2 linked regions of the Notamacropus eugenii genome follow. The protein of the gene in region 1 purifies or fractionates together with the protein of each later gene. This does not show direct contact. Links are inferred from orthologs where the notes say so. Each region holds a gene or a part of one and is shown on either strand. Other genes may lie near its edges. The genes, in order: PPIE and AQR.

What was found.
Region 2: the proteins of PPIE (region 1) and AQR purify together in Homo sapiens (affinity purification with mass spectrometry; 5 studies listed by BioGRID and IntAct, counting the BioPlex papers as one, with this or other methods). This does not show direct contact. The link is inferred for Notamacropus eugenii from reciprocal best matches to the Homo sapiens genes PPIE and AQR.

What each region holds. Positions count from the first base shown.
Region 1 is NC_092876.1:79,567,762-79,583,110, forward strand, and holds the start of PPIE (peptidyl-prolyl cis-trans isomerase E), read left to right. Parts: upstream 1-7,902; 5' UTR 7,903-8,281; coding exon 8,282-8,312; intron 8,313-11,052; coding exon 11,053-11,151; intron 11,152-11,187; exon of another isoform or gene 11,188-11,299; intron 11,300-13,086; coding exon 13,087-13,130; intron 13,131-14,731; coding exon 14,732-14,758; intron 14,759-15,349. Other genes in the region: PABPC4 (polyadenylate-binding protein 4), read left to right, coding at 581-708, 811-904, 1,012-1,142, 2,461-2,547. UniProt on the Homo sapiens protein: Involved in pre-mRNA splicing as component of the spliceosome. Combines RNA-binding and PPIase activities.
Region 2 is NC_092878.1:19,787,653-19,802,686, forward strand, and holds the start of AQR (RNA helicase aquarius), read right to left. Parts: upstream 7,871-15,034; coding exon 7,678-7,870; intron 3,127-7,677; exon of another isoform or gene 2,903-3,126; intron 1,449-2,902; exon of another isoform or gene 1,376-1,448; coding exon of another isoform or gene 1-1,375. Other genes in the region: ZNF770 (zinc finger protein 770), read right to left, coding at 1-1,375.

The sequences.
Region 1 (15,349 bases):
ATATAAAAATAATGAGATTTTGTTTCCTAGCACCTTTGTCAGAAGCACTTTGGTATTCATTGTCTCTTTGATCTTTTAAATCTGGATTTGGTTGTAATGGAAAATACGTGGGATTTTAAGTCACAACCTGGTCTTTAAAAAATCTCTGCTCTGATAAGCTTTGCAGTGTGGGTGTTCCTTGTGCTTCTCTGCTCTTTCCCCTCCTCCCGCACTGACAGGAGGGATGAAATCATGCCCCGGGGCTGAATCAAGTCCTAGTTCAGCTTTGGGTAGGGTTAAGTACTAAGCTGGGCTTTTCTGAAATGGAGCCAAGTGTATATATCAGGCTAAATATAGACTCAAAATAATTGTAAGTGGCTTCAAAAAGGATCTAGTTTTCTCTTTTGGTGCTGAGGGTAGTGAAGGATCCATGAGTGTTTTCTGTGTAATCCTTACATGTAATTGAGTTTACAAAAGAATCCTTGATCCATGTGGTACAGGTCAGCAAAGGCTTATGGGCAGCTCAACCACCCTTCATGTTAGTATTGAGTTTCTTGGTTCTTTGCTGAAGCTGAACATATTTTTGGTGCTTTCTTTTTAGGGGTGCCCTCTGCTGTGCAAAATTTATCTCCTAGACCCTCTGTAGCTACCCCTGCACCTAGAGCTGTTCCTCCTTACAAATATGCTGCAAATGTCCGAAGCCCCCATCCAGCTATCCCGCCTTTGCAGGTAATAGGGAAGCCTCTGTGCTGAAGTTAACTGGAGGGGTCTCTAGTGCATGTTGAGAGGGATGTGAAAAGTGACCTGGACTCTTTAACTCTTGACCCACAGACACCTCAGCCAGCAGTCCACGTGCAAGGCCAGGAACCCCTGACGGCTTCCATGCTGGCCGCTGCTCCTCCCCAGGAACAGAAACAGATGCTGGGTAAGTAAGGCATTCGTTGCTGGGGTGGGGTCGAGGCGGTTCTCTGCAGAACTGGGTCTTTGCAGGGAGCCAGGCTGACCTAAGCGTGTGTTAAATTTCTTTTGTAGGAGAGCGTTTGTTTCCATTAATTCAAACCATGCACAATAATTTAGCGGGGAAGATTACAGGTATGCTGCTAGAGATTGATAATTCAGAACTGCTGCACATGCTAGAGTCTCCAGAATCCCTCCGGTCAAAGGTAAGGCTGCTTGGTTTCATGGAAGGGCATTATTAGAATTAGCAAAGGGGCAGCTTATTTGCTTTCTGCATAATGAAACATAGCCTCGTTTAAAGGAAGAAGACCCAAGTGTGAATTGCTGCCCTGCTGCTATTCCGAACACTTGGGGGCTGTTTTCTCATCTGTGAAATGAAGTGGTTGGAAAAAGATGGGGAACCTTGTCCTGTGAACAGAGTAGCTTCAAAATGGATTAAGTTTGGGGAACCCCATGTACATGTAACACAGCACCCTGAGGGGAGAAGGGCTGTACTCCTCCATCACCCACTGGCATTCTCAACACTTGGGCATTTTTTTTGCTCTATGTCTGCTCAGTAAATAAACGAGAGGGATAGGGGGAAACTAGGGTCCCCCCAAGAGTGGAAGGGCAGCCTTCACAGACACTCCAGGCCCTTCCCATTCTGCCACGGCCCTTACTCTCCTCTGCTGGCATGGCACTGCATCATCTCCAAGGTCTGAAGTGTCTGATTGGTCTCCTGATCAAACTCTTCTTTTTCCTCTGACTTACTTGTCTTTAGTATCCAGCATGATGTGCCCTCCTTCCCTTTTGAGCTTAGACTCCAGCCAATGTGACATGCTCTTTTCTGAATCACCTTATTTTTCTCATCCTAGGCTCACCGCCCCCCTCCCCCCCCCCCTTTGTTACTCTTACCAGCTGAGGCCAGTGCAAATAAACACAAAGCCCTTCCCCACCAACCTCTATCCCACTGGGTTTTTGTGTTTTTTTTTGTTTTTAAATTTATTTTTATTTATTTATTTTTAATTCCCACTGGTCTTTATAACTTCATTTCGCCCTGACCTCTCAGCCATTTTAACATCTCATCAGCTGCCTTTGTGCATTTGCACAGGATACCCCACCCCCATGAGGAACAAATGAACAAACCCTCCTTCAAGGCTCACTTAAGTGTTAGACCTCCTGGAAATACCTCAAATTAGGTTAATTTCCTTAATTAACTCCACATTGAGTTCCTTGAGGAGTAGAACTATGTATTTGTTTTCAATTTGTATCTTTAATTGAGCACACTGTGTCTTGTGCCTAATAGGTGCTTCTTTAAAAACATCATGTTGAATAGGATTAGTTGAACTTAATGATTTAGCTTTGAATGAATGTATCTGGGCCTCTAAGCTGGAGCTGTGGCTTGTGCCATATTTAATGGGGACATTTGTGGGGATTATGGAAAAGTAAATGGAAAGGGCCTCCAGGGGAGGGACTGGTGGTATTTTCCTCCATGCCCTGCACATAGAACACCTAATTGAATGAATGATTGATCACCTGGTCCAGGTGGAGGAAGCAGTTGCAGTGTTACAAGCTCACCATGCCAAGAAGGAAGCTGCTCAGAAGGTGGCCGTGGTCGCTGCTACCTCTTAAACCAGAAAACTGGTAAATGGATTTCCGTTAGAAAATATTTTGTATCCTATTGGTCCCCAATTAGGGAAACCCAGGCAAGCCTTCCTCCAACCCTTTGCTTTCAAATTCTTCTTAGATATATGTGGGTAGGTTAGAAGTATGTGAGCTTTGTTGATGACTCTTTGCTTTGGAGGCTTTAAGGGTACGGAGAAAAGTGAAGACAATTGTTGCTAGGACCAAAACTGATGAAAGAGTTGGCCAGCTCCCTATACAAATAATTCAGTGGGAGGGCAGTTTTGGTTCTTGGAGCTGAAAGATCTGGCTTTGAATCCCTAGATCTTAAAATATGTATGTAATGATAAAAGGACAGGGACTTGACTTTGGACAAACTTCTCTTCTGGACTTCAGTTTCCTCATTTGTCAAAGAGAAAAGGAATGGATTTTGAGACTGGAAATAAGTTTTGCATGAATACACATGTGATACAATGTATCAATTATCTTCTTAGTGAAGGAGGGGGGAGAATTTGGAACTCAGTTTTTAAAATGAATTTTGAAAACTGTTTTTACATGTAGTTGGGAAAAAATAAAATACTAAATTTAGAATTTTTTTTTACTAAACTGAATGGTCTCTGAGGAATCCTTTCTTTCTTTGCAGGATACTCTGAAGTGAAATAGCCCCTTTATTAGATGTTCGTTCACTCAACATGTGGAGACTTCTTCAGTTACTACAGACTGAACAAGACATGGCAGAAGAAGCTGCTGCCATTCTGGAGATTTTTTCTTTTGAAAAAATCAACTTGAAAGGTCAATTCTTAAAACCCTAAGAAGTTTTCCAGTGGTCAAAATGGGCAGGTTTCTTGTGTGTTGCCTGGACCCTGTTAATCTTTAATTTAATTTTATTTAATTTTTCTCTTCTAAAAAAGCTTTTCTGACAGTATTTTTGTTTTGGTTTTATCAGGAATTGGTTTTATTTGACGTATCCAATTTACAGAGTCTGGAAAAGTGTTTCTCAATAAAGAAGTAAAACCTTCATAAATTGCCTCTTTATTTTTATTCCCATATTTTCAAACTCTACTGGAGTTTATTTGACTTATGTCAAAAATAAGTCCAAGTTTTCACTGGAAGGAGTCTTAGGAACACAAATAAGTCAGAATGGAATTGCACAGATAGTTTGTTATTCCTTGTTTGTTCTGGTTTTCCAAGCAGTTTGCTATTTCCTAGGTAATGAGGAGGACTGTTTGGGGTTGTCATTAAATTGACATGTTAAAATATGATCCTGTCACACTTGAACTGTCACATTAGAACCCAAAAGCTCCTCATAAATAGGAAATGTTTATATTGGCTTCAGTTATGTACAATGAATAGTTTTTTACCAAGTTTCAAGCCAAGACTGGACTTAAATGCTTGCATGGGGAACTTCAAAGAACGTTTCAGGGGTCAGAAAACGAATTTTTATTTAGAAAGTGGCATTGCTTTTGGATATTATTGAAGTAGTGCCACAGGGTCATCTGAACTATAGCTTCCTTTAATAGCAAACTTTATAGTATGCTTTTTATTCAGTTTAATACATAATCCATTCCAAAAGGCCAGCCTAGTGACCATCTGGAAGTAGAGGGGATCTGGAGTCTGTGGTGTCACGTAGTATCTATGACCTTTTGGGGATGCGTAATCTTATCTACCTCATTTTCTAAGGATGATAGCACCTGTGCTTATAAATGTTGTACGTAGCTTTGCCTGTTGCTCCACTCTTTGCCATGTGAAGTTGGTAGTTTTGACCCAATGCCACACTATCGGAGGCATGTGCTGAGTTGGCTTTGGCAGCGCAGGCTTCATGCAACAAGTAGAGATATGAAACCTGAGTTTTAAGAGTTGGACTTTTTAAATTGTGAAATGTCATATTTTAGTACATCACAAATCTCCTTAAAGAATCAGGATTACACTAGCTCAAAAGTATTAAACTGGATGAGGTGGTGTGGTTGAGTCACAATTTCCACTGACAGGGCTGACTACCATGTCAGATGGCTTACAATTACATATTCTGTTTGCTGTGCTATCCAGCTGCCTCCTAGTAGGGACTTTAATAAATTTTGGATGACTGATCATTTGAAGTATTGGGACCTACTAAGTACTGTATGAGCAAGAACACAACTAAAGATTTTTTTACAATTTTAAGTTCCAAATTCTCATCCTCCTTCCTTTACCTATTCAAGGAAAAAAAAAACAAAACCCATTACAGTTACGTACAGTGATGCAAAACATTCCCTCAGCCTTGTCTAAAAAAACAAAATATGCCTCAATTTGCTGTTAAGTCTGTCAGCTCTGTATCATAAGCATGTTTCATCACATCTTTTGAAGCTGTAGTTGGGTAATGTATTGATCAGTGTTGTCAAAGTCAATAGTATTCCATCATATCCCCAACTGAAGAACATCCTCCTCAGTTTCTGATTCTTTTCCACCACTTGTGCTTTGATCTCTGGGATACAGACCTGGTGTTTCTGGATCAAAGTATGCAGTTTTGAGGGGGGTAGTTCCAAATTGCTTTCTAGAATGTTTGAGCTAGTTCACCACTTTACTTGCAGTGCACCTGTTTTCCCACAACCCCTTCCAGCTATGATTTTCCATTTTTGTCATCTTTGCCAATCTGGTGGGTATGAGATAGTACCTCATAGTTGTTTTCATTTACATTTCTCTAATATTAATTTAAAGCATCTATTCATGTGGTCATTTATAGCTTAGAATTCTTCTCTAAAAATTTCCTATTCATATTCCTTAATTGGAGAATGGATACCAGAAGATGTTTAGAAGCAAAAAATCCTAGAATTCTGGGGTGCATTAGCTTTTGAATCAATATGCTTAACGTTTGCCAAATACACTTATTACTAATGTATCTGTAACATTCAATTCAATTTGTCCCGTGGAGGAATTCCCACTCAGGTATTTACCTCAAGGGTAAACCATTCCTTGTTTAATAAGGGTAGTCTAGAAGGACAGGTTGAACTGTCAACAAACCATGTTTGAAGAAACCAAATGAATGAGGCCACAGCCTCTGGGAGCACTAAAAAAATTAGTCCTACAAGCTGCCTGGGAATCTACAGCTAGTAATCACTAGCTTGTCCAAAGACCAAAACTGCACATCCCCAGAAATGCGGCAAGCTGAAATGTGGCTTCTGGAGGAAAGATGCAGGAGTTCTTGAAAATCTTGAGCACCACCCACTTTGTAATGAGTGGTAGCTATTCAACTCCACAGTTCTATTGTAGCCCATCCTGGCACCGATAGCTTGCCAACCCCACGTGACCTGTACACTTGTGAATGTAAAATCCTTTGAGCCCCTCTTTAATAGTTTTAGAATTTGAAGATGTTTATTCATTAAGTCAGGGAACTGAGACTTGGGTTCAGTAGTTCAAACTGTTCCCTGGTAAGAAGTTTTTGGAATGTATGAGCTGTCTTTGGAGTTAATGGCTTCCCCTTTGCCAGAGTTTCTGAAGCTACGTTTGGGTGATCATTTGACTGGGATGTTCAAAGACGCCTCAGGTTCCTTCTAACTTTTGTAATTGTGAAGCGACACCCTTTGGTCGGATGCTACCCTTTGAGCAAGATTATTCAGTGAAGCTCTAAAACTGAAGGGCTTCAAAGTAATTGAAGAAATAATTCCCTACTAGAAAGCTTACTGATTTTCTTGGCATAGACCTTTTTCCATTTTGGTTACTTTACTCTGTATGCTTTGCAGCTCATCAGCATCCTTCCCAAATTATGGCACCCAGAACATCACTATTTCAAATGTGGTCCAACAAGAGTGGCAGAAGGGGAGGGACTGTTCCTTAAAGCTTGTCTTCATTCAGTCCAAGACTAACTTGGGTTTTCTTTCGGTCATCTCATACTGCGGATTCATTGCACTTTAGCTCACCCAAACTCACAGGTCTTTTTGTCAGATAAACCAATCAGAATTCTAGAGTTGGAAGAGTTCTCACTGTTTCTCTCTAGTCTTCATAATCAACATTTTGACAAATGGACATCTAGCATTACTAATCTAACCAAGCCTGTCCTATTGTACTTGTGAAGTTGGTTCTTTTAACCCAAATAAAGTAAGACTTTACTTTCATCTGTTTTAGATTAGGCCAATGTTTTACCTCATCAAGATCATTTTGCATCCTGAACTTCAATCAATGTTACCCCACCCACCTTTGTATGAGTTGCAGATCTGGTTTGTGTAACTTTTTTAAAGATTGTTTTTATTGGCTGGATGTGTTAAATTCCAGAATCTAATTATTAATGCCTAGTGATTTCTACTTTAGGATGGATTTAAACTAGATAGGACAAATAAAGCCGTAGATGTGTCTATATGTTTATACATCCTTAAAAAATAACTTCACTCTAATGAAAAAAAAGCTGATCCTTCCCATCCCACCAGCCTTCTTCTCTATAAATGAGGGGGTAAGGTGTCTTCTCAATATCTTTGCTTTTTATTAAGATCACCGATAAAAATGTTAAATATCACAGGGCCAAGCACAGATTCCTGGGACCCTGTACCAAACAGTGCCCTTCAAGTTGAGTCCAACCAGTTCCAAATCCAACAAATTAGCATTATGGAGCCCCATCATTTCCACAAGAATCCTATTAAATAACTCTCAGAAGCTCTGCGAAAATCTGGGTAAACCACAGAGCATTCTTCTCATTTATCTTGGAGCCTGTCAAAACCCATCACAAGGCAGGCCAGCTCTCTCTGTGATCATCTCTCTAGATCCTCCTCTAGATCTTCGACCAAAATTAAACCAGCCTCACTGGCCTGCACTGTCAGATCCTTTCCTCCCTTTTTAAAATATGGGGACACTTTGCCCCTCTCTGGCCCCAGAGGACCAGCCTCCCAGGTCACGGAAGCCAGTCCTGAGAGATGCCCGCTGGCACTGCCCCTCCTGTGGGTGAGGGGAGCTGAAAGATTGCTTGTGACTGCCCGAGTCCTTCTCAAGCACTCAGGAGGAACTTCAGTGCCCACAGTGGCAGCGCCGGGCGCCATCCGCCTCCAGTGCCCGCCCCCCCCTTTCCTCCGATGTGCCAAGAACCACAAGGAGAACAAAAGGCCCGCTAGCCCCCCTTTTAGCTCTGGTGTGCGACCCCCCGGGGTGTTCCGGCCAGACACTGGAGGGGTCGGCCATTCCCTTCCCCAGCGCATTTTACAGATGAGGAAACTGAGGCAAACAGGGTGAGACGCCGCAGCGAGGACGTGTCGGAGGCGGGACTGGACCCTCCGGACCCGACTCCGGGACAGTGGTCGTCCCCTCCCCCAACACGCGTTTTCATCTTCGGTGGAATTCCCGCGTTGCTAGACGGGCCAAGCGGGCCGGCCGTTCCCTCACGCAAGCCCAGGACATGACGTCAGAGCGCACAACGTCCCGGGGCCCCGCCCAGAGGCCGCCCCCCGGGCACCGCGGCCGGGTCATTGGCGAGTGCCCTACAACGTGGGCTTCTGGTGGGCACGCATTAAAAAACCACTCTCTCAAGTGAGTAGCTAAGCGCCACGGCAAACATCTAAGGCCGCCCATTCACTCCTTTCTCTTCCACTCCAATCTCCTCAAAGAAAAGCGCGATTGGTGACGCCACGTCGGCCCCAGGCTGCGCCTGCGCACAAAGCCTCCTCTTAGCTCGGCCAGCCTATGGCTGCGGCGGGACTCCGAGGAACGCAACGCCCTCTGCTACTGGGCGTGGGCGGAAATAGGGGCGGAGGGAGTCGTCGACTTCCGCCTCGTAGCCCGACGCAAGATGGCCGCCACCAAGCGGGTCCTATATGTAGGTGAGTGGAATTTCACCGCACTGGGTGGGGGCAGAGGTCGAGGTTCCAGCAGGAGTGGTTTTCTACCTGGCCTAGGGATGCTGGGCCGGTGAGGAGAGTCTGGAGGGAGGCCTTGGCCCTCAGGCCTGGTAGGACAAGGGAGAGATTGTGCGGGGCTAGCTATCGCGAGACTTGGCTGACAGCTCGGGGGTGGGACCCAGCTCAGTTTGTGCTGGGGGCGGGGCGAGTGATTGGAGGCGGGGCTGAGGGGCGGGGCGCGCTCTGCGCTCCGTGGTTGGGTGCTGAAGGGGTCACGCGGTTCAGTTGTGTAAGCGTTCTTTTACTTGTAGGTTACCTTTGCCTGCTGGTGTATCCCCCTGCAGGAAGTAGCCTTCAAACTGGCGATTAATAAATGCTGCCTGTGGCACTGGGGATGGGGGCTGGACCTGTAATTTCCGTGGTCCAGGGTACTCCCGGGTGAGGACACGCCCCTCACCTGTAGGCAGGCAAAAGGTGTCACCCTGGAGCCCGCAGCGCAGCCTGCACCATTTATTAAATGCCTGTTGTGTGCCAAACCCCTACTAAGTGTTGGGGACCTAAAAGACGGTTGTCCCAGCTGCAAGGGAGTCTGAGGACACGGGTCCGAGTATTCCTGACCCCACTGGGGGTTTTCTTGGCAAAGATCTTGGAGTGGTTTGCCATTTCCCTTTCCAGCTCATTTTACAGATGGGGAAACTGAGGGAGGCAGAATGAAGTGACTTGACCAGGCCAGATTTGAACTCAGATCTCCCTAACTCCAGACCTGGCCCTCTCTCCGCTCTGCTGCCTAGCTGAGAAGGGAACATAGTAGACATTAATAGAGTGACCGAATGCTTGTTCACCAAGGAACTTCCCCAGCCTTTTTTAAAAATTTTATATTTTTTTACATTTATTTATTTTTAGTTTTCAACATTCACTTTCATAAATTTTAAATTTGTTCCCCTCCTTCCTCCCTCCTCTCCTCGAGACAGCATGCTGCATATATATTCCTATTAAGCATATTTTCACATTAGTCATGTTGTATAGAAGAATTAGATGAATGGGAGGCACTGATGAGGGCTGGAAGGGGGCAGTGAGACCCTTACAAAGACCAGGGTACCAGGGGCAGGTCACCTGGAAGGAATCCATGCATGGTCTCAAGCCTTCTTGAGGTCAAAGTAAAGATTTATTACACTTCTCAGTGGCCAAGAATTCTTAAGGAACCTGTGATTTGAGTGGAGTACAGTTAAAGTTTATAGAGGATATTTTATTGTAAAACATGTGCCAAGTGTGAGGACTAGGTGATTCAGGGCAGGATTAGGGAGTGGTTAAGGGGTGATTCGTTCTTAAAGGAACATGCACTTTCAGGGTCGACTGTGCAGATATTTTACCCAGAGTCCATTGGGAAATAACCCAAGAGGGGTGCTACATGGAGGTGTGGTTTTAGGCCTGAAACATCACCAAGTCAACTGAGGGTCGGGACTGACTCAGGAATGCCAGGCTGCTCTCATCAGTGTCTTGTTAGACAAGATAAATGTAATGGAGTATACGTATGTCTAAGTCTAGGACACATATGATTGGTCAGTGAGTAGAAAACATCGTTACGACCCAGTGCACAGTCCATTCAGCCAGTACACAGCTGGTTCAGACTAATAAATTCTATTGGTGCAGCTGGCTGCTGTATCAGGAAGGGAGATACAAGTTTTGCTAGGCCAGGCTGTGTCCTTGGGCTGGGGAGAAACTGCGTGAGATTGTTTTGAGGATAGGGAGAAATGTGATTTTTAGAGAGATGTTATTTTAAAGTTGGGGTTCAAGCTCAGGCACCCAAGCACCTTATCAGAACCATGAGAAAGAAAGAAAATAGTCTGCTTCACTCTGCATTCAGACTCCATAGTTCTTTCCCTGGATGCAGATGGCTTTCTCCACCATGAGAAGGACCTCCCCTGTGAAGGACAACATTGCAAATCCCTGCTTGCTTTCCAGTTTCTCTCCCCTTCACTGGGACCTGTTTAGCTCAGACTAGACTTTCTAAGGAATCCGTCTGACCCTGTCATTTTTGTGCTTAAAACCCTTCCCTGGGCAGGCATTTTCAGAAGCCCCTTCCCATTGTGCTGCGCTGCCCTGAGGATTACAGAACACAAAAGGTAAACAGTCCCTGTTCTCCCAGGAGCGTACAGTCTGCCCAAGGAGACAGCATGTACATATATAAGTACATGCAAAATATGACACGGCAGGGAAAGGTGTAGTGCAGAAGGTGGTCCGTGAGCTGAACTGTGAAGGAATCAGGGATTTTGATAGAAGGGGGGAGTTGGTGATTTCCAGGCATGTGCAAAGGCATGGAGATGGGAGATCTAGCTGGATGATCCTGAGCAAGTCACTTGTTTGCCTCATTTTCCTCAAATGAAAAAATGGGGAATATAATAGCCCCTACCTTCCAAGATTGTGGTGAGGATCAAATGAGATAATGATTGTAAAGTGCTTACCAAGTGCCTGAGACAGAGTAAGTGATAAATAAGTGTTAGCTGTTGTTATTGCATACACGTAGGGCGTAGCCTGTCAGGTGCATCAAGCACATTACTGGCACACAGTGTCATGGATTTAGAGCTGTTAGCTCTAAGGGACACTGTAGGTCACTTGGTGCAAGCCCATCCACTTAGACTTTGAGTTGGACTCTTGTCCCTAACCATAGGGCTGGAGCATACATGGAAGAGAATTGAAAAGGATGCCTTTGCTTCATTTGTAGGGGGCCTTGCAGAGGAGGTGGATGAGAAGGTCCTTCATGCTGCTTTTATCCCTTTTGGAGACATCACAGACATTCAGATACCGCTGGATTATGAAACAGGTGAACATGTTTATTACTTCTTTTTCTTTATCTTAGGGAGAAGAGTTCAGAAGTATCAAAGGAAAACTACACTCTGACTTGTTGTAACATGGGGGGAACAGCTGTGCCTTGACTGAAGAACCGGGTTCTGGGAACCATCAGATCAGTGGTATGGTAGGGAGGGCACTGAACTGAGGTTTGGGAAGACCAGGGTTCATATCCCATCTCATATATTTAAGAGCTGTGTCATTCTGGCTAAATCCTTCCATCTCTGTGAGCTTCAGTTTCCTTATCTGTAAAATGACGATAATATTTGCACCAGCCTCACAAGGTTGTTGTAAAGTTCATATAGAATAAGGTATGTAAAGTGCTTTGCTGGTCTTAAGCCCTTGTATTAATGGGATCTCTTACACTTGGGCCCAGTGGGATGACCAGCTGTTCTCCATGCACATCATCCTGTCTCCCAACTCCGTGCCTTTGTGCAGGCTCTCCTTCTTAGAGGTCAGGGACTATTGAGTTTTTTTTTTTACTTTGTATGCCAAGCAGCTCGCATGGGAATTGCATCAAAGTGAGTAAATATTAACTTTATCGACAGCTTATGGGATTGGGGAGGAGTCTGTCTTGGCCTTTGAGCCATTTTTATCATATTTGACTTATTCCCTTGAAACTGAAAGCTTTGTAAGCTACTAACACCGTCAGTGGGTCTCCATTCAGTGTGCCTGGTTAACCCAACCTCCCCAGCAGTGTGGCGCAGCAGGACCAGTGGCCACTGGGAGGCAGGGACCCAATAACCAGCACTGACGGGTGGCCCCACCAGTCCAGCCAAGTGAATTTCCATAATTTTCCCTTCTCCTCCAAAGGTGCCGGCTGTTATCATGCCATGATAGTAATGTTATATTATTGTAGGAGATTCCTCATAATTCTATAGTGCTTGATATTTTATAGAGTCCTTCCGTCACAACAGCTTTTTGAGAGTATGGAATGTAAAGGTTATTATTCCTGTTTTCTTCATAAAGAACAGGCAGCTCAGGGAGTTAGAGAAAGGATTTCCCCAAGCTCACACAACCGGTGTCAGAGCCGAGAACCGACCTGAGGCCTTCTCACGCCTTCATACCACACTGCTCTTTGTCATCCAAGTGTGTATGTGGCTTTGTTCTCTAGTTGCCGCATGTGTCTGGCCTTTCCAATCAAATTAGGCCCATTTCCACATCAAGGAACATGCTCTAGCTTGCTTCCCATTGTGCTGGGTGGTACACCAGAGGCATGGAAATATATTTGTTGAATGAATAATCAATAGTTGATTGAATTGTGGTCTGTTGCCCAGGCAGCTTTGTAAGCAAAGGTTAGCAGAACTTATTCATAGCCAGTTATGTTTAAAATTCTGATGTCATCAGACAGAACTTATTCATAGCCAGTTATGTTTAAAATTCTGATGTCATCAGACATGTTAACACATATTTTCATTTAGATAGAGCTACTCTTCCTGTGCCATCTTCTCCCAAGGTTTCATCACAGTATGCAGCGGACCACAAGTTCTGGCAGGCCCTGCCAGTCTGGGAAGGCTGGGAGGGTGGCCTTGAGAACTCATCCATAAGATGCTGGCCACCAGGTTTGTAGCACTTTTTGGCTGACCAGCTCCAACATTTGTATACTAAGCATTGTGATCTACCCCAGTATACCTTAATCAAGTCACAGAGCTGTTGATACATTAAAGCAAGATAGTGGCTGCATTTCTAAGATGTTGTTCGTTCTTGCTGAGTCCAGGCTAAAACATGAAAAGTTCACGGATCTCCTCATCAGTTCCCAAATGGGCTAGAGAGTAGCGTCAGAAAGAAATCCTTCCTGATATAGATTTTATCAGTTTCTTGTTTTTTTTTCCCATGAACTCCATTGGTAGCAATGCATCCTGTCATGAAGTTATATAATCTAACTGCTTCTTTCTGTATTCTCTCTCAGAAAAACATCGAGGATTTGCATTTGTTGAATTTGAGTTGGCAGAGGTGAGAAACATACAAGTTTTTTGGTTTTTGCATTATCTTCATTTCCATATGTATTCTCCCTTATCCTCTGCCCATAACCTTTTTAGGAAGAAAAAAGCAAAACAGTTCAGCAAAACTGACCAATACATTTTCTGAACCTGGTAGGATATGCAGTGTTTCATACCCATAGTCCTCCACCTCTGCAAAGAAGGAGTTAGGTGGCTTTGCTCCTTCCTTCTTTGGGGACGAGCTTAGAAATTAGAATTGCACAATATGATTTGGGGGGGGTTTGAGTGGGCATTCTTTGCATTTCAGCGGTTGTCATGATGTGCATTGTTCTCCCATTTCTGGTTGCTTTGCTTTATGAGGTTCATTGGAGTTTGCTGTGATTCTCTCTGGACTTGGTACTAAGCCTCATTCTTGTGTCACACTCTGTGTAGTTGCTCCTCAGTTGATGGGCATCTGCCTGAGAAGCACACTGTCTTAAACAGTTTTGAAAGCTTTGGTTTCCCTTCTTTTGAGTTTTACTACAAAATGATCCATTCTTCCTTGGGGCCACTCCTTGGACTGTGTTCATACAAAGGAAGGTTTTTTGGTGGAGATCCCAGTGAAATGTGTGCTAGCTTTCAGGGAGAACTTTTTTCATTTCAGGTAGCCTTGATTAAGCACCCTCTCTATTCAGGACACTACTCCAAGGGCTGGGGATACCAGGACAAAATCAAAAACAAAAACTTGTCTACCCTCAAGGAGCTCACATTTTCCTGGAGACTATATACTAGACATGCAAATAAACAAAGAATATACATCTGTTTTGTATAAAGAACATACAAAGTAATTCATAGCAGTTTAGCAGGGAGAGGATGCTAATAATGGGCGGTGGCATGTAAGAAGCTGGGCCAGGAAGGGCCTGGAGTAGGACGTGGTTCTGGTCTGTGCTTTGAAGGAGCCTTCTGGTAGGTGGCAGGGGGGAGGGAGTGTATTCCAGACATAGGAGAATCCATGTCCAAAGGCATGAGATAGGATAGTATGTGGGAAGCAGCCAACAGAGAATGAAAGGGGGTCACAATTAAGGCTTGCATGGGAGGTGTGAGCCGGAAAGGTCATGAAGACATGTGGATGGAGTATTGGCTGCTGGTTGGGCACAGGGGCTGAGGAAGCCTTCGTGGCTGTAAATTCCCAAAGTTGGAAGAGTGGCAGGGATGTCCTTGGAAATGGGGATGTTTAGAGGAGGCATGGGTTTGGGATGGTGATGTAGGGAGTTCTGTTTTATACATGCTGATTTTGGGGTATTTACCAGATACCCTGATGGTGATGTCTAGCAGACAGTTAGTAAGAGGGATAGTAGTTCAGGGGAGAAATTAGGAGTAGATAATATAGATTTTAGAAGTCATCTGTTTAGAGGTAATAATTGAACTCACAGGCATGTTGACATCACCCAGAAAAAGGAGAGGGCCCAGGACAGAGTCTGGCCCACCCTGGAAAGAGGCTTGCTTAGATGATTACACAATGGAATGGTTAAGGCTGTTTTTTAAAAAAATCACCATTTCTCCTTAAATGCCCAGTTGCATTGCATTGTGGTTTTTACAATATGCTAATGAACTGTTTTTGTTCTCTTTCCCTAGGATGCTGCAGCAGCTATCGATAACATGGTATGCATCATGTTCCTTATTTCTTACTGATGTTTCTGTTTAGTTTTATACATCTTAATGACTTCATATTTGTTTGTTTATATTTTCTCTCCTCCACTAAACACATCTCTATTTAAAATAGCCAGTTTGTCGCTAGTTTAGAGCCATTCTTGATTTTTGGTGAACAGTAGCCTCGACTTAAGGTGAAAAATAGCCATACCTCGAAAGCTGTTACTTTGTCCCTGCTTAGTCTGACATTTACTCTGATAACTTCCAAGCACAGTGAACCTAAGGAAAAGATTTCACACCTACTCATGCCTTATTTTAGATCTGTCCTAAATGGATGACTGCACGTGCTGGCTCCTCAACCCATCTGCATTTTACAGTGAGCACAAAGAGAGCTCATTTTCTGATGGTCAAGATGGCTCTGTGTGTGTGTATGTGTGTGTGTGTGTGTGTGTGAGAGAGAGAGAGAGAGAGAGAGACGGAGGGAGGGAGAAAGAGAAAGAGAGAGATTAATGGGAGAAATCATGAGAATACCTTGGAGGAGCTTGTGAGTGGTTCTCCCGAAGAATAGTGATTCCTCTTCTATACAAGCAAGAGTGCTGGTTT
Region 2 (15,034 bases), on another chromosome or scaffold:
GCGCATGTTGAAGCGCTTCAGGATCATCAAAGAATTCCTCACCAGATGGACTATAAATCATTATGTCATTATTCACGGAATCTTCTACATTTAAAATTCCTTCACTATTAATAGTACCTTTCAAATTGATTTCTGCACTAGGGCTCTGCAGTTGCTTTTGCCAGGAAAATGGCAAATGTCTTTTCTTTTTACTACTACTAACTTTCTTATACGACCCAAATTTGCCATGAGGACTCTTAAAAGTTTTGGGTGAGGTATTCTGATCCGAGCTTTGCTCCCCAAGAAGATCACGATTTTTTAAGAATCTAGCTTTAAACTTCTTTTTGTCAGACCGAAAGGCATCTAACGTCTTATCCCCACCTCGCCTTAGCTTAGTCAAAACTTTACCTTTAACGTTAGTTTTGTAGTTGCGTTTTCTTTTGATGCCGTTTGTATTTTTAGCACCTCCTGCCTGCAAACATTTGTGAACACTGAGAATCTGCTCTGATTCAAAGCACTGCTCACATTCTGGACACTGAAAAGGGACAATATAAATAGAGTCCACCTCAGGAGCATCTTCCTCGGGTTCCTGTGTGTCACCATTTTCAAAACCATCCTGCCTTAAATTTAATTTAATTGGTGCTGAGTGTGGTTCTGGATTCTTTTTCTTGAATGAAATAGTCTGAAAATTCTTTTTTCTGGTATGAATTTGTTTATGCTTTAGAAGTTTGCTCTGAATCTTAAATCCCTTTTGACAAAAACAACATTGAAAAGGTCTCTCTTCTGTATGTGTTAGCTGATGGATTTTCAAATGAGTTGACTGTCTAAATGACTTACTGCAAAGAGAACATTTAAAAGGTTTCTGGCCAGTGTGAATAAGTAAATGCCTTTCCAGCTTTGAGCGGGATGGAAACATCTTGCTGCAGGTATCACATGCATGGATTTTCTTCCTTCTCCTTGCAGTGCCATACACATGATCTGACTTGGAGGATGGGTGTAATACCCACCTTTCTTCTGTCGAAAAAGAACGGAATACCCCATAACTTGGTTTCTCTTGCTTGGACTCCACCAATCTTTTGACTTGCTTTACATCATTCTGGTAGTTTTCGTTGTGGAGCTGCTGATGTTTCAAGAAGGTTATTAGATTTTTAAAGTGTCGCTGACAAATACTACATTTAAATGGCAGCTTGTGAGTTAGCTGATGTCTTTCCAGATGAACTAGCTGCCTAAAAGTTTTATGACACACATGGCACTCAAATGGCTTTTGACCAGTGTGAATAAGATAATGTCTGGCTAATTTTGATGGTGTTTCAAAGTGCTTGAAGCAAATATTACAAATATATGGCCTCTTCCTAGGTAACTTGTTAGACACCACACACTGTTGAACCTTTACCATTTTAAAACTTCAGTCACAAAATTTTTCAGTGAATTCCACTGAGATCCATTGCTTTCTTAAACTCCATAGGTTGCTAAAAGTTAAAAGAAAAAAAGTATTATTTCAAGGACTTTTTGGTCATACTAAAAAGATGAATGGGATCACAGGTTAAAAATACTATGCTGAAAGAAAAACCTGAGGTTTTTCTGTATTTAAAAATAAAATACCAATTCTAGAAAACAAGAATCATAGATGTATCCTTTGAAATAATATTTTGATTTTGGACATCCTAAGAAGTAAGTTTTTTAAAAGAAAACACTTTATAACTCTACTAAATCCCTTAGGAATGTCACATTTCTCTAGAAAAGATCGGCCACAGCCATGGTACTGAATGAAGTAACTAAGTTGGATTTGTTTCTCTCATTAAATTAATATAATTTCTAATTTAAGTTTTTATAAAAATTTTAACTTAAATAACATTTTTGGAGACAGGAAAGTAATATTACCACTATAAAAATATGCTTACACAAAATATGTTGCAGCCATTAGGCATGACCTGCCTGGTGAGAAAGGCAGCTCTTCTGAAACAAATTCTTTGATGAGCTATTAGCACATTCTTTTTGACATTCAACAATTTCTGTATATGGAAGAACACCACAGGCAGTAAGAGGTACCATGGAAGATTCACAGCACTAAGTCATATTTTTGATTCTGGCTCTCCCTCTTAGTAGCCAAGTGACCTTGCACAAGTCATTTCAACTTCGAGGCCTCAGTTTCCTCCTATGTGAAACAGGGAAAATAGCACCTGCCCTGCTTACTTCACAAGGTTATGTTATAATCAAATGGAACAACATGGGAAAGTTATTTGAAAACTGTAAATTGATACATAAATACAAGATACAAAAATGCAAGACATATACAGTAGGCTCAGTGATGGCAGGGACCATGTGTTCTTAACCCCTAATATAGAATCTTGAACATAATGGGCACTTAGCAAATAATTAATGAATGAATAACTTATCAGAGAAGCTAACTAGTAATTAAACTGATTGGTTAGAGTTGTAATTTCTTTTATTTCTCTGTAGTGGGAGTGACTGAGAAGGAAGATGGAAAAGCAAAGGACCTGGATAATTAGCTCCAGAGGGGCCTAAAGTTGACTATACACTAAAGTCAGTCAATAATAAACAGGTGGCATGGTGAGTACAGTACTGGACTTGAAGTGAGGTAGACTTTAGTTCTAACTCTACCTCAGACACTCACTAGCAGTATGACCCAGAGGGAACTGCCTTGTATATCTAGGTCTCAGTCTCCTCATTCATAAAAATGGGGTTAGTAATAGCACTTATCTCAGGATTGTTATGAGAATCAAATGAGACAATATAATTAAGCACTCGGCAAGCCTTAAAGCAGCATGTAAATGTTAACTATTGTGATTATTATTTTGGATGGCATCTCACTCGGATGTCCTACACTCTCGCAGTTTTCCCTGTGACTCCACAATCAATTTTATTCTGTCCCCACAACTGCAAAAAAAAGTTTTCCACTCACCCTATGTTCACCTCTCCTTGGGAGGAAGGAATCAGAGAAGTTGCTGCTGCTCTGGCCCTCCTTTTCAATTACTGCCAGAGGAGAAAGAAGTCTAATCATGGTGCAGCTAGGTGGGCCTGGAGTCAGAAAGACACATGCTGCTGGGTTCCAATCTGGCTTCAGATACTTACTAGTTGTGTGACCCTGGTCAAGTTACTTAACCCTGTTTGCCTCAGTTTCTTAATCTGTAAAATGAGTGGGAAAAGGAAATGGCAAACCCGTCTAGTATCTTTGCCAAGAAAATCCCAAATAGGGTCACGGACATGACTGAAAACTTATTGAACTGAAGGAGGTCAGAAATGTAGTTATGCTTTGTTAGCAGCCATTTGAAACATGAGCCTTTGTCTTTTCTAAGTTCATGTCTTTCACCTAGAATTACTTAACAAAAATTCCCTTCCCATCATACCCAGCAATTTTTTATCCAGCATTTTCTTCAAGAATTCCAGAAATAGGGAAACCACCACCTCATGAGATAGCCATTTCCATCTGCGCATAGTAGCTCTGTCTGGAAATATTAAGTCTAAATTTTCCTCTCTGAAACTTCCACTTCTTCCTCTTACTTCTGCCCTGTGCATTCAAGCAAAACCAATCTAATCCCTCTGCTATGTGATAGCCCTTCAAATACTTGAAAAGAGCTACAATGTCCATTGTAAGTGTTCTCTTCTCCAGGCCAATTCCTTCCAATGATACTCATATGAAATGAAATTCAGGTCCTTCACCATGCTAGCTGCCCTCCTCTGCAAAGTCTCTAGCTTGTCAATGTCTTTCCTGAAATGCAAACTGAACAAGAACACAAGACTACAGATAGTCTGACCAGGGCAGATGCCAAGTGGACCATCACCTCTGAAAGACCAGACATTAGACCTAAGATTACATTTGCCTCCTTGGCTTTCGTATCATACTGCTGAATCACACAGCCTCTAGATCTCTTTAAGACAAACTGCTACCTAATCCCCGACTTGTACTTGTAATATTGATTTTTTGAACTCCAAAGCATAAGAATTTATATTTATCCCTAACAAATTTAATCTGGTTTGATTGGGTCTATTATTTTAGCCTGTCAAGATCTTGTTAACTACTCCCTCTTCCCCTCCAGCTTTGGATTATCTGCAAATACGATTAGAATGCAATTTTTGCTTTGATTCAAGACACTGGTAAAAACATCAGACAGCACAGGACCAAGACATCCTTCCGAGATGACACTGAACCATTAATGACCTACTATCTTTTGGTTCTAGCCATTCAACACAAAATGACTCATATCCATTTTGGTTCTCCTCAGTTACCTACATTAGAAATAACATAAGAGCTATTTGCAGTTTATCAACAGAGCAAGTATATTTATATAATTTCCCAAGAAATTCTGATCTAGAGCGAGGGAGAAAAATGGAGAAAAATAAATGTGGCAGCTTTATTCAAAATGACCAAGTAGCCTATTAAGCTGAAATGACTAGAATCCTAATGAAGGCCAGAGCATGTCACAGCTGACCTGCATTCTTCCTGATGATCTATCCTATCCTATAAACTGAAACAAAATGCTTAAGAACAGAAAGAAACAAAAAGAAACAAAAACAATTCAGTGACTAGAGGAGGAGCAACATAATACATCACACAAATCCTTTAATATTAAAGCAATTAACTACCTGTTGTTATTTTTGATATATCTAGAAACTACAGGTTTTCTCCTTAAGTTTAAAATCTTATGTAAACTTCCAAAATTCCCACCGTGAACACTGAGCATGGGATACAAGTGATCGAGAGAGGACTAGGGTGTAAGAACGGCGAACAGCTGCCCAGGGCGGGGAGGCATGCGGTGAAACGCACACTGTAAGATCAAGGAACAATTTTAACTTAAATGGATATGAAGAAAAAGTGATAAATACACATACTTTTACTATTATAAAATTATATGCTCCATGTTACAAGGGTATTTGTTTTGTAACAAACTGCCCAGGTTATAGCCAAGGCCCTAATTTTCCAGTGAGGACAAATAGTTTATAGACCTTGTCTCTGAGTGTACAAGTACCATGATCTGGCTCTGGTGATCAAAAGTTTTTAAAAATGTGAATCCAATGGTTTGCAAAGTTGCTTGACTTCAGCGTCCTTTCTGTGAAATCTTTTTGCAATGGTCAGTGCCTGAGTTGCACCATCAGAACCCAGAAGTTGGAAATCTACAACATTCATGCCAAAGATGTCACACATGCTCTGGTTTTTTCATGGTGTAGCAATGGTACCTGGCCCTATACATCTAAGAACTCTCATTGGTTGAACCCCAGAAGGTTTGCACACTGACTTTCTTAGGATCTCAGACTGAGAACTCAAAGGGGGCTCAGAAGCCACCTGGTCCACAACCCTTTGTAAGTCCCACTTTTCAGAAGTGAGCTGGTAAACCCCTAACAATCCCACTCCTCACCCTCTTCATTTCAAGAGTCACCAATCATCTGAGCTCCAGGCCCTCACTCCACAATTCAAAACAAAAATTATTTCTTCATCAGCCCTAAGAAAGGTTGGATTATGTCTTAATTAGATTTAGTTTCTCCTTCAACATAAATTACAACTCTGCAAAAAGGTGCTTTAAAAAAAAGCACTCTGAATGAATGGATGAGGACTCAGGATAACCCCTTTTCATATTTCCAGTGAGAACCAGGAGACAATCTCAGTTGATGGCCTATAGTCCTCCTGAATGTCAAAGAGGCTGGGTTTGATATATCAGTTTTGTAATGCTGTTGTAAGGCTGTTCACCTTTCAGATGAAACTTAATTTCCTTCTTGTATATACCAGAAAATGCTGCAACATGTGATCAGCTTTTCTGGAGAGAATAGTTCTTAAAAGAAGAAATTTTGCAGTTCTTCCTATTCTAAATGAAAAATCAGAGATATCATATTTTATCAAGTCAAGTCCAGCCAGAAAATTACACAGAAAATTTCACATTTATGGGATAGCAAAACTGTCCTTTACGTCCTGACAATTTAGGGATGTATCTAGCATGGCAAAAATTTATAAGAATTTTGGACATGGAAATGATTGGTCTGGCCCCCTCACTTCACATAATGAGAACCAAGACCCCAGAGAGATAAGTGGTATAAGTTCACAGAAGCAGTTTAATAGCATAGCCAAAACTGAAAAACAAGGTCTCCTCCCAATCAGAACAATTTTTCACATCAAATGACCCGGACCACTTTGATTCTTCTTTGTTAAATTATTCTTGGCTTTTAACATCTACAAATTTATCTAAACACTTCTTGATTCTCCTGAAGAACACCAAAGCTGTCTTTAGATAACCTGTTAACTTCTCAAACTCCTTGATTTATATGTGTTCCTACAGCACTGGTCTTGGCAGTCAAAAACCCTGAGTTCACAGTAATGTGGACCATCTACTATTGGATGTATGAAATCAGGTCAGTCACTTAACCTCTCTGAGTCTAGATTTTTTTATCTGTAAAACAGGGCGAAAGGAATATGTATTTATTAAGTGCCTACAATGTGCCAGGTTAACAAAGGTTAAATGACTTCTCCAAGGTCACAGAGCTAGTAAATATGTGGCTGGGTTTGAACTCAGGTCTTCCAGACTCTAGTAGGCCCAGCTTCTCCTAAGGGATAATTCTTGCATTTAAAACACTACATAAGTGTGGAGAAGGACTTGAAATCAAATCAAAAAACAAATAATTTAGACTCAAGTAATTTTTGGACACCTAGAGCAATTTCTAGTGGCATTTTCCTTAGCTAGATGCAAATACATAACACAGTGGAAAGAGTCTGAGCAACTGGGATTCAAATCTCATGTCAAGCACTTACAGCTGTGTGACTCTGGGCAAGTCACTTAACCTTTGTCTGCCTCAATTTCTTGACCTGTAAAATTCGGAGAACTGACAATACCTCCTAGTTACCTTTGCCCCCTACACCTATTATCTCCCTGGGTTGCTGTGAAAATAAAACTGAGAAACTGAAAAATGCTTTTCAAACCTTAAAGCACTTCAAAAATTTTAGTTATTATTAATATGTTAATATCTCAACTCCACCCTTTCCTCCTTGGCCTTGTCACACACACAGTTACAATGTTACCTAACTCGTGGTCTGGTGCATTTCCTTTTCTAGGTAGGTACCCGCTTTATCCTCCTACATCTACGTCCCAGAGTGGTTATGAAGACAAAATGAGACATTTGTAAAGTGCTTTTCCAACCTTAATGAGCTTGATGGATGCTAGCCATGATTATTTATTATTATCATCCTCGCGACTCCGCCCACCCGTCCCTGCCTTTCCTCCTTGGCCTTGCCACACACACAGTTACAATGTTACCTAACTCGTGGTCTGGTGCCTTTCCTCCTTGGCCTTGCCACACAAACAGTTACAATGTTACCTAAATCGTGGTCTGGTGCATTTCCCTCCGATCCCTACGGAGGCTGGAGAAAGGGGTCAAGCTGTCAAGCTGGGGAAGGGAGAAAGCTGCTGCGGGGTGGGGGCCTGAGACACCGCCCCCGCCCCGTGCCGGTGGAGAACGTCACGCACACACACTCACGCACGCGCTCGGGGCAGGGACGCGGACGGGGACGAGGAGGGGGCGGGGGCACTAAAAGCATCAGGGGAGGGGGGGAAGGGAAGGAGTCCTGCCTCACCCCCCCCCCATCCCCGCCCCCGCCCGGGGCGGGTCCCTCTCCCGGTGGCCAGACGGGCAGGGGCCTCCCCACGCGTGCCGAGCTTGCCCCGCCCCACCGACTCTGCCCACTACCCCACGCACCTGGAGTCGGGACAGCGAGGAGCTGAGGAAAAGGAGAGCGACAAGCCCCACAGGAGCAGCGGCTGAGGCTGCGGCGGCGACGGCGGCGGCAACGAGGCTCAGTGCGCAGCCGCAACTCCGCGGGAGAGCCACCCGGACAAGGTTCCGGGCAGAAACACGCTCCGGCTTTTTCTCCATCGGGTTCCGAGCTCATTAGTGGTGCCTAGAAAAGGGTGTAGGCCTCAGCCTCTGCCCACGCCCCCGACCCACACGATGGGACAGGCAGGTGTCACCATTCCTACTCTCCAGACTGTAAAAGGTGGGGAGGAGGGCGGAATCTGACTCCCTCAGGCCTAGGCCGGCGGAAAACCACCTAACCGGAAGTAGGCCGCCTCAGCCCCTCTGGACCGGAAGGCTCTGTGGAGGGGTCCGGGATGAAACCTGTTGTTGTTAATATTCCGTTCCAGAGCTTGGACGCTCCGCTCTTAAAGCCAAAATTTGAATACTAGCATGTATATGGCACTTTAAAGTTCGAAAAGCGTTTTAGATGCTTTAGATTTTATTTGAGGTGCTATCGATGTGATTAATAAAACACTAATAAATTGCGATGCGATACATCAATAGAACCTTTTTCATCCCCACCTCCCCCCCAATTTAAATAAAATTTCCTCCTTTCTCAGTGTAATGCAGAGAGAAGGCTGCGTCGTCCCCATTTTACAGAATAAGGGACTGAGGGACAGAGAGAAGTGACCCAGAAAGGTTCCCAGAGCAAGGCCTCTGGATTCTAGAACTTTGATTTTCATCCCCCATCTTGCGGCCTAGACACAAATTCATGCGTTTAAAATGGGGTCATTCAAACAGTCAGTCAATAAGCATTTCCTGTGTGCCAGACCCTGTGCTAAGCCCTGGGGATACAAGGAAAGGCCAGAGACCTCCCTTGTCCTCCAGGTGCTTCCTGTGCAGTGGGGAAGACAGCGTGCAAACAGCTAGGTCCAGAAAAGCTGAAGAGGAGATGAACTGGAAGTGATCAACCCTTAAGAGAGGCTGGGAAAGGCTTCTTGCAAAAAGTTGGTTTTTAGTTGGCCCTTGAAGAAAGCCAAGAGGTGAAGATGAGGAGGAAGAGCATTCCAGGCACAGAAAATGCCTGAAGATGGAGTGTCTTTTTAGAGAAGCAGGGTCACTGGATGGGAAAGTATATGCGAGGAAGGATGGCGGAAGAAACCTGGAAAGGTTGGGAGAGAGGAGCAGGTTATGAAGGCCTTTGAATGCTGAAGAGATCCTTCAAGTCGTTGGCAGTCAGTATAGTTTATTGAGTTGGGCCGGTGGTGGTGACATGATTAGACCTTGGTTTTAGGAAGATCACTTTCAGCAGCTGAGTGGAAGATTGACTGGATTGGGAAGAAACTTGTGGCAAGAAGACCCATCGGCAAGTTGTTCCAATGGTCTAAGTTAGGTGATTAAGGCCTTCCAGGGTGGTTAGCCGTATCACGGGGGAGAAGGGAGTGATGGGGTTCAGACTCTGGGAGCCTCCTTGAGCTCCCCTTGAATCTTCCCACTTAATCTGGCCTTTCTTACTCAAATCTAATCTTCCCATTTGTTCTGAAAGGCTCCGGAAGCTCATCAAGATCTGTATTCATTCCTGTACTGCCCCTATCAAGATCTCTGGATTGTCCCACCTGCTTCCTACCGAAACCCTCCATAGTCTGATATCTCCTGATTAGCCTCCAGCTGTCTCCAGCCTTTGACCCTCCTTGGATTCTCTCCTTGGACTTCTCCTCAAGACCCTTCCTAAACCCCTCCTCCCATCACCCTGGACTATCAGACCACCCCCCAGATCCCTCCTATACGCTTTTCTGTATTTAAGTTCCATCTTGCCTCCATGCAGGCTCTCAGATTCAATCCAGCTCAGACTCTGTCTAGCTGGGATTCTGTCTGGCCCGTTTGTGAATACAAGTGTTACAAATGCTTAGGCTACTTGAGAGGCAACCCAGTTTGGCAAATCTTTAATAAACTTTGTTTTCTTTGGCTTTAAGAAGGCTTGAGTCAAATTCATTCGAGCACAACCTGGACTGTCGGTATCTTGGGGTCCACCATCACCCCAAAACCTCTTCAGGAGCACATGGATGAAAATGTTATGAAGGTAAAAATCAACAGGTTTTTGAACTGTGAGAGTTGCCAAGACCCTTAGGTCCAGAGGAGCATCGTCTAGCAAGGCAATATCCAGTGGGAAGCAGGCTCAGTGAGAGCAGATTGGAAGTGTGGGATAAGACAGAGTAAGAGATGTCTAGCATGACACCTAGGTTGTCAGTTTTGAGGATAGTGGGACCCTTGACAGTAACTGACAAGTTAGGAAGATGGCAGCTTTTGGGATAATGAGTTTAGTTTGAGTTGTGGTGAGTTTAAGATGTCCTTGGGACATCCAGTTTGAGATGTACCATAGAGATGCAAGTGTGGAGGTTAGGAGTGGAAACACACAGAAGCAGGCCAACTGTGAAAGTGACACTGAATTTTTATACTTTTTAAGAAGGAGACCATAAGTAGAAGAGATTTATGGTATCATAGAATCGTCTTTTCTACTTGTATATGAAAATATTCTTTTTTTAGTGCTCATTAAGTTTAGAAGAAAAAAGAATAAGTAAAATGTGCTTTGGAACAAAAAATATTACAAAGTGGTTATTGAACTGGACAAAAACTAAATAGAAAAAAATGGAAGAAAAGGGGACTATTTCTCTGAATGATGGAAAGAAGACTTTTTCTTCAACAAATAAAATTCTTGAAGCTTGAGGCCAAGATAGGTGTGCTTGCTGTAAAATTTAAAAACATTCCGTGCAGCAGAAAATGTAATTAAAAGAAAAATAACAGATTGGGGGAGATATTTATGACAGACATGAGAGATAAAAATCTGGCATCGAAAAAAATATGAAACTGTTGAAAAAAAAGTGGTAACTCTAGTCCATGATAGATAAATGGTCAAAAAATATGAACAGTCTATTTTCAAAAGAGGAAATACAAATTGTTAATTCTCACTTGAAAAAAGTGCTCAACCTCAATAATCAAAGAGGTGCAAATTAAAACAAGTTGGAGGAACCACTTCACACCCATCAAAATGGAGAAACTAAAAATAATGAAAGTGTGCTGGCCTGGTTGTAGAAAAACATTTGTTTATTGCTGATAAATTTCAAGAACAACTGGGTAATATTCAGCAGATATGATGCCCTTTGACTAACTAATTCCATTGTTAGGAGTATACCCTTTGAGTATTAAAAAGAGAAAGATATTTTTTCAAAGATTTAAACTGCAAGCAGTTTAGAAGTCCAACAATGAAGGAATGATTTGTGTAAAGATGTCAAAGGCTTTTAGTCTTTCTAGGCTGTATAGACATGAGAAGCCAAGTCTACTAGGGCCTCCGAGGTTTAGCTTTATTTCTATGTCTTTACCTCATCCACTCATCTATGAAGGAAAATAGATTTGGAATTGGAAAACTGGGGAACCCTGAACCTTTAAGCTATTTGACAGATATTAAATTAATAACTCTTGCATCAATATTAACCAGGTATAATCTTGGCTTCAGAGATTAAAATCAAGATGTATAGGGAATCCTCACCATAAACTGGGGCAATAAACCCAAGATGCTAGACCATGAAGTGGGGTCCAAAGAAAAAGCTAAGCTCTGAGGGCATAATCTAGCTGGGAAGAGGAACTTGATGCCCAAGAAGCTCCAACTATATATAGCTGAAATTCAGTCTAGCTAGAATGGAAACAGAGGAAGGCTATTAAAGAAAGAAAAAAACCAGAATTTTTTCTAGGGATGTTGCTGGTGTAACAGCAACTATTTGTATTCCTCTCCATATATGTTAATAACCATATATACTCGTTATGTGTGTTCACTTTTTCTACTGTTGGTATATGTATTTGTGGGAGAGTGCAACCCAGGTTTATTGGGGGAAATTATGTTTAAAAGCAACCCTTTCAAGACTGGGTCCTCTGTTCCCATCCCCTCCAGCACCATTCATTCAACCATCAACTACCAACAGAGAGTCATCACAGTCCAGTGGCAGGATAGAATCAAGATGACTAGTGATAGTTCAGGTTACTGTGGACGACCTTGGCATCTTCAGTGTGTAACCAAGGTCTAAATGCTCCACGTCACCTGCTTCAACTGGCTTCATGGCCTTTGAAACAAATTGTTCTCATTGGTCCATTCCCCCAGGGGAAGTCTTCACATGCTTGGGGTAAACATCCCCCAACTCACCAATGAGTTTGAGACCCCTTGATAACCCTCAACCTGATTTGGCCCATCTCCTGAAACGGTATACCAGGGTATGGCCACTGCACATGTTACAGCCTCTTGGATCCACAGGTGAGTGTTAGGTGGAACAGGTGGACACCAAAGGTGGAAAGCAGCCCTGAAAAAGGCTTGGCAGCCATCTCACCAGAGGTACTGGTCCTTTCTGAATACACCCTACACTCCTTGTTTTATGCCTGTGAAACATGGACAGTCTACCAGCGCCATGCCAGGAAATTGAATCACTTCTATCCGAACTGTCTTAGGAAGATTCTGAAGATCACCTGGCAGGATAAGGCACCAGACACTGAGATCCTTACTCAAACTAAATTGCTAAGCATTCAAACTATGCTTCAGAAAATGCAACTCTGAAAGGCTGGCCACATTGTTCGAATGCAAAACATATACTTGCCCAGAAAGACTATTTTATGAAGAACTCATATGGGGCAGGCAATCACATGGTGGTCAAAAGAGGCGATACAAGGACACCCTCAATGTCTCAAGAATTTTGGAATTGATTGTGTGATTTGGGAGACGCTGCCACAGGACCCCTAAACATGGCATGCCCTCATCAGAAAAGGTGCTGTGCTCTATGAGCAAAGCAGAATTGAAACAGCATAAAGGAAATGTAGGATGTGCAAATTTGGAGTAACCACCCCAAATGTTCATGCAGACTATCTGTGCCCAATCTGTGGTAGAGCATTCCGAGCTTGCATTGGTCTGATCAGCCACAGTTGTATACCCTGAAACTTCACTTTATCATGGTAATGCCATTTTGGTCCTCTTCAAGAACAAAGGACAACAACCAACCAACAGAGAAGACAAACCAGCTTACACCGCCACTACTCCAACCATCACCTTCTCTCAGACTTGCTAGTGTCTCATTTTTCCCATCATTGAACTTGAAATAAAAGAGTTGCCAAGATCCTTAAGTCCTGGTGTTAAAGCCACCTCCAACATTAGTGTTTTACCTAATGAATGTGTTTTTGTTCACTCATTAAACCTAGAGTAGCCTTCTTCCAGTGGACCTGCCCTGTGAGGTGGGAGTGGGGGTCCCCCAAGCACTACAACTTCAATAACATATTAATGTAATAGAAAACTATAAAGCAACTAAGATACAATTATGGGGAAGACATAAGGGACCTAAGTTTAAAACTAGGTTCTGCCACATAAGACCTACAGGAGCTAGCTCAAGTTGCAGTAATGGAACTTCTCCAAGGCCTCATTTTCCTCATCTTTATTTTTCAATATTATTTATTTATTTTTCAGTTTTCAACTTTCACTTCCACAAGAATTTGAATTCCAAATTTTCTCCCCATTTCTCTCCACCTGCCACCCCAGGACAGCATGTACCCCATCCACCCCTTCCTCCAGTCTATCCTCCCTTCTTTCAACCCCCTCTTCTATTTCCCTCCCCTCTATTTTCCTGTAGGGCAAAATAGATTTCTATATCCCATTGCCTATGCATCTTATTTTCTAGTTGCTGCAAAAACAATTTTTAGCATTCATTTTTAAAGCTTTGAGTTCCACATTCTCACCTTTCCTCCCTCCCTACCCGCCCTCTTTGAGAAAGCAAGCAATTCAGTATAGGTCATACATTGTAGCCATGCAAAACACTTCCCTAACAGTCATGTTGTAAAAGACTAACTACATTTCCCTCTGTTCTGTCCTGCCCCCTATTTATTCCATTTTCTTCCTTGACCTGTCCCCCCATGATAGTGTTTGCTCCTGATTAGCCCTTTCCCCAATTTGCTGTCCCTTCTGTTATCTTCCCCCCCTATCCTCTTCCCCCTTGCGTTTCTGCAGGGTAAAATAGATTTCCATATCCAATTGAGTGCGTGTTATTCCCTCTTTAAGCCAAATCCTGTGAGAATAAGGCTCACATTCCCTTTCACCTCCTTCTTCTTCCCCTCCATTGTAAAAGCTCTTTCTTGGCTTTTTTATGTGACCTGATTTGTTACATTCTACCTATCCCTTTCCGTTATTCCTAGTACATTCCAGTCAACAGTAAATTTTATTTTTAGGTATTCTCCCTTCATATTCAGCTCACCCTGCAGCCTCTGTCTATGTGTGTATGTGTGTGTGTGTGTGTGTGTGTGTGTGTGTGTGTATAATATATATGTATGTATATGCATATATACATAAACACACATATATAAACACATATATACATATACACATACACTCATATACATATACACACATATATAATATACACATACATACATACATACCTATGCACACCTCTATATATTCCCTCTAACTACCCTAATACTGAAAAAGGTCTCGTGAGTTACAAATATCATCTTTCCATGTAGGAATGTAAACAGTTAAACTTTAATAAGTCCTGTATACCTTCTCTTTCCTGTTTACCTTTTCATGTTTCTATTCAGCGCTGGTCTTTTCGACAACAATGCTTGGAAGTCCTCTATTTCATTGAAATTCAATTTTTTCCCCTGAAGTATTATACTCAGTTTTGCTGGGTAAGTGAGTCTTGGTTTTAATCCTAGCTCTTTTGACCTCTGGAATATCATATTCCAAGCCCTCTGATCCCTTAGTGTAGAAGCTGCTAAATCCTATGTTATCCTGATTGTATTTCTACAACACTTGAATTGTTTCTTTCTGGCTGCTTATAATATTTTCTCCTTGACCTGGGAACTCTGGAACTTGACTACAATATTCCTAGAGGTTTTCCTTTTTGGGTCTCTTTCAGGAAGTGATTGGTGAATTCTTTCCATTTCTATTTTACCCTCTGGTTCTCGAATATCAGGGCAGTTTTCCTTGATAATTTCTTGGAAGATGATGTCTGGGCTCTTTTTTTTTTATCATGGTTTTCAGGTAGACCAATAATTTTTAAATTATCTCTCCTGGATCTATTTTCTAGGTCAGTTGTTTTTCCAATTAGATATTTCACAGTCTTCCATTTTTTCATTCTTTTGGTTTTGTTTTATAATTTCTTGATTTTTCATAAAGTCATAGCTTCCATCTGCTCCATTCTAATTTTTAAAGAATTATTTTCTTCAGTGAGCTTTTGGACCTCCTTTTCCATTTGGACAATTCTGCTTTTTAAAGAATTCTTCTCCTCATTGACTT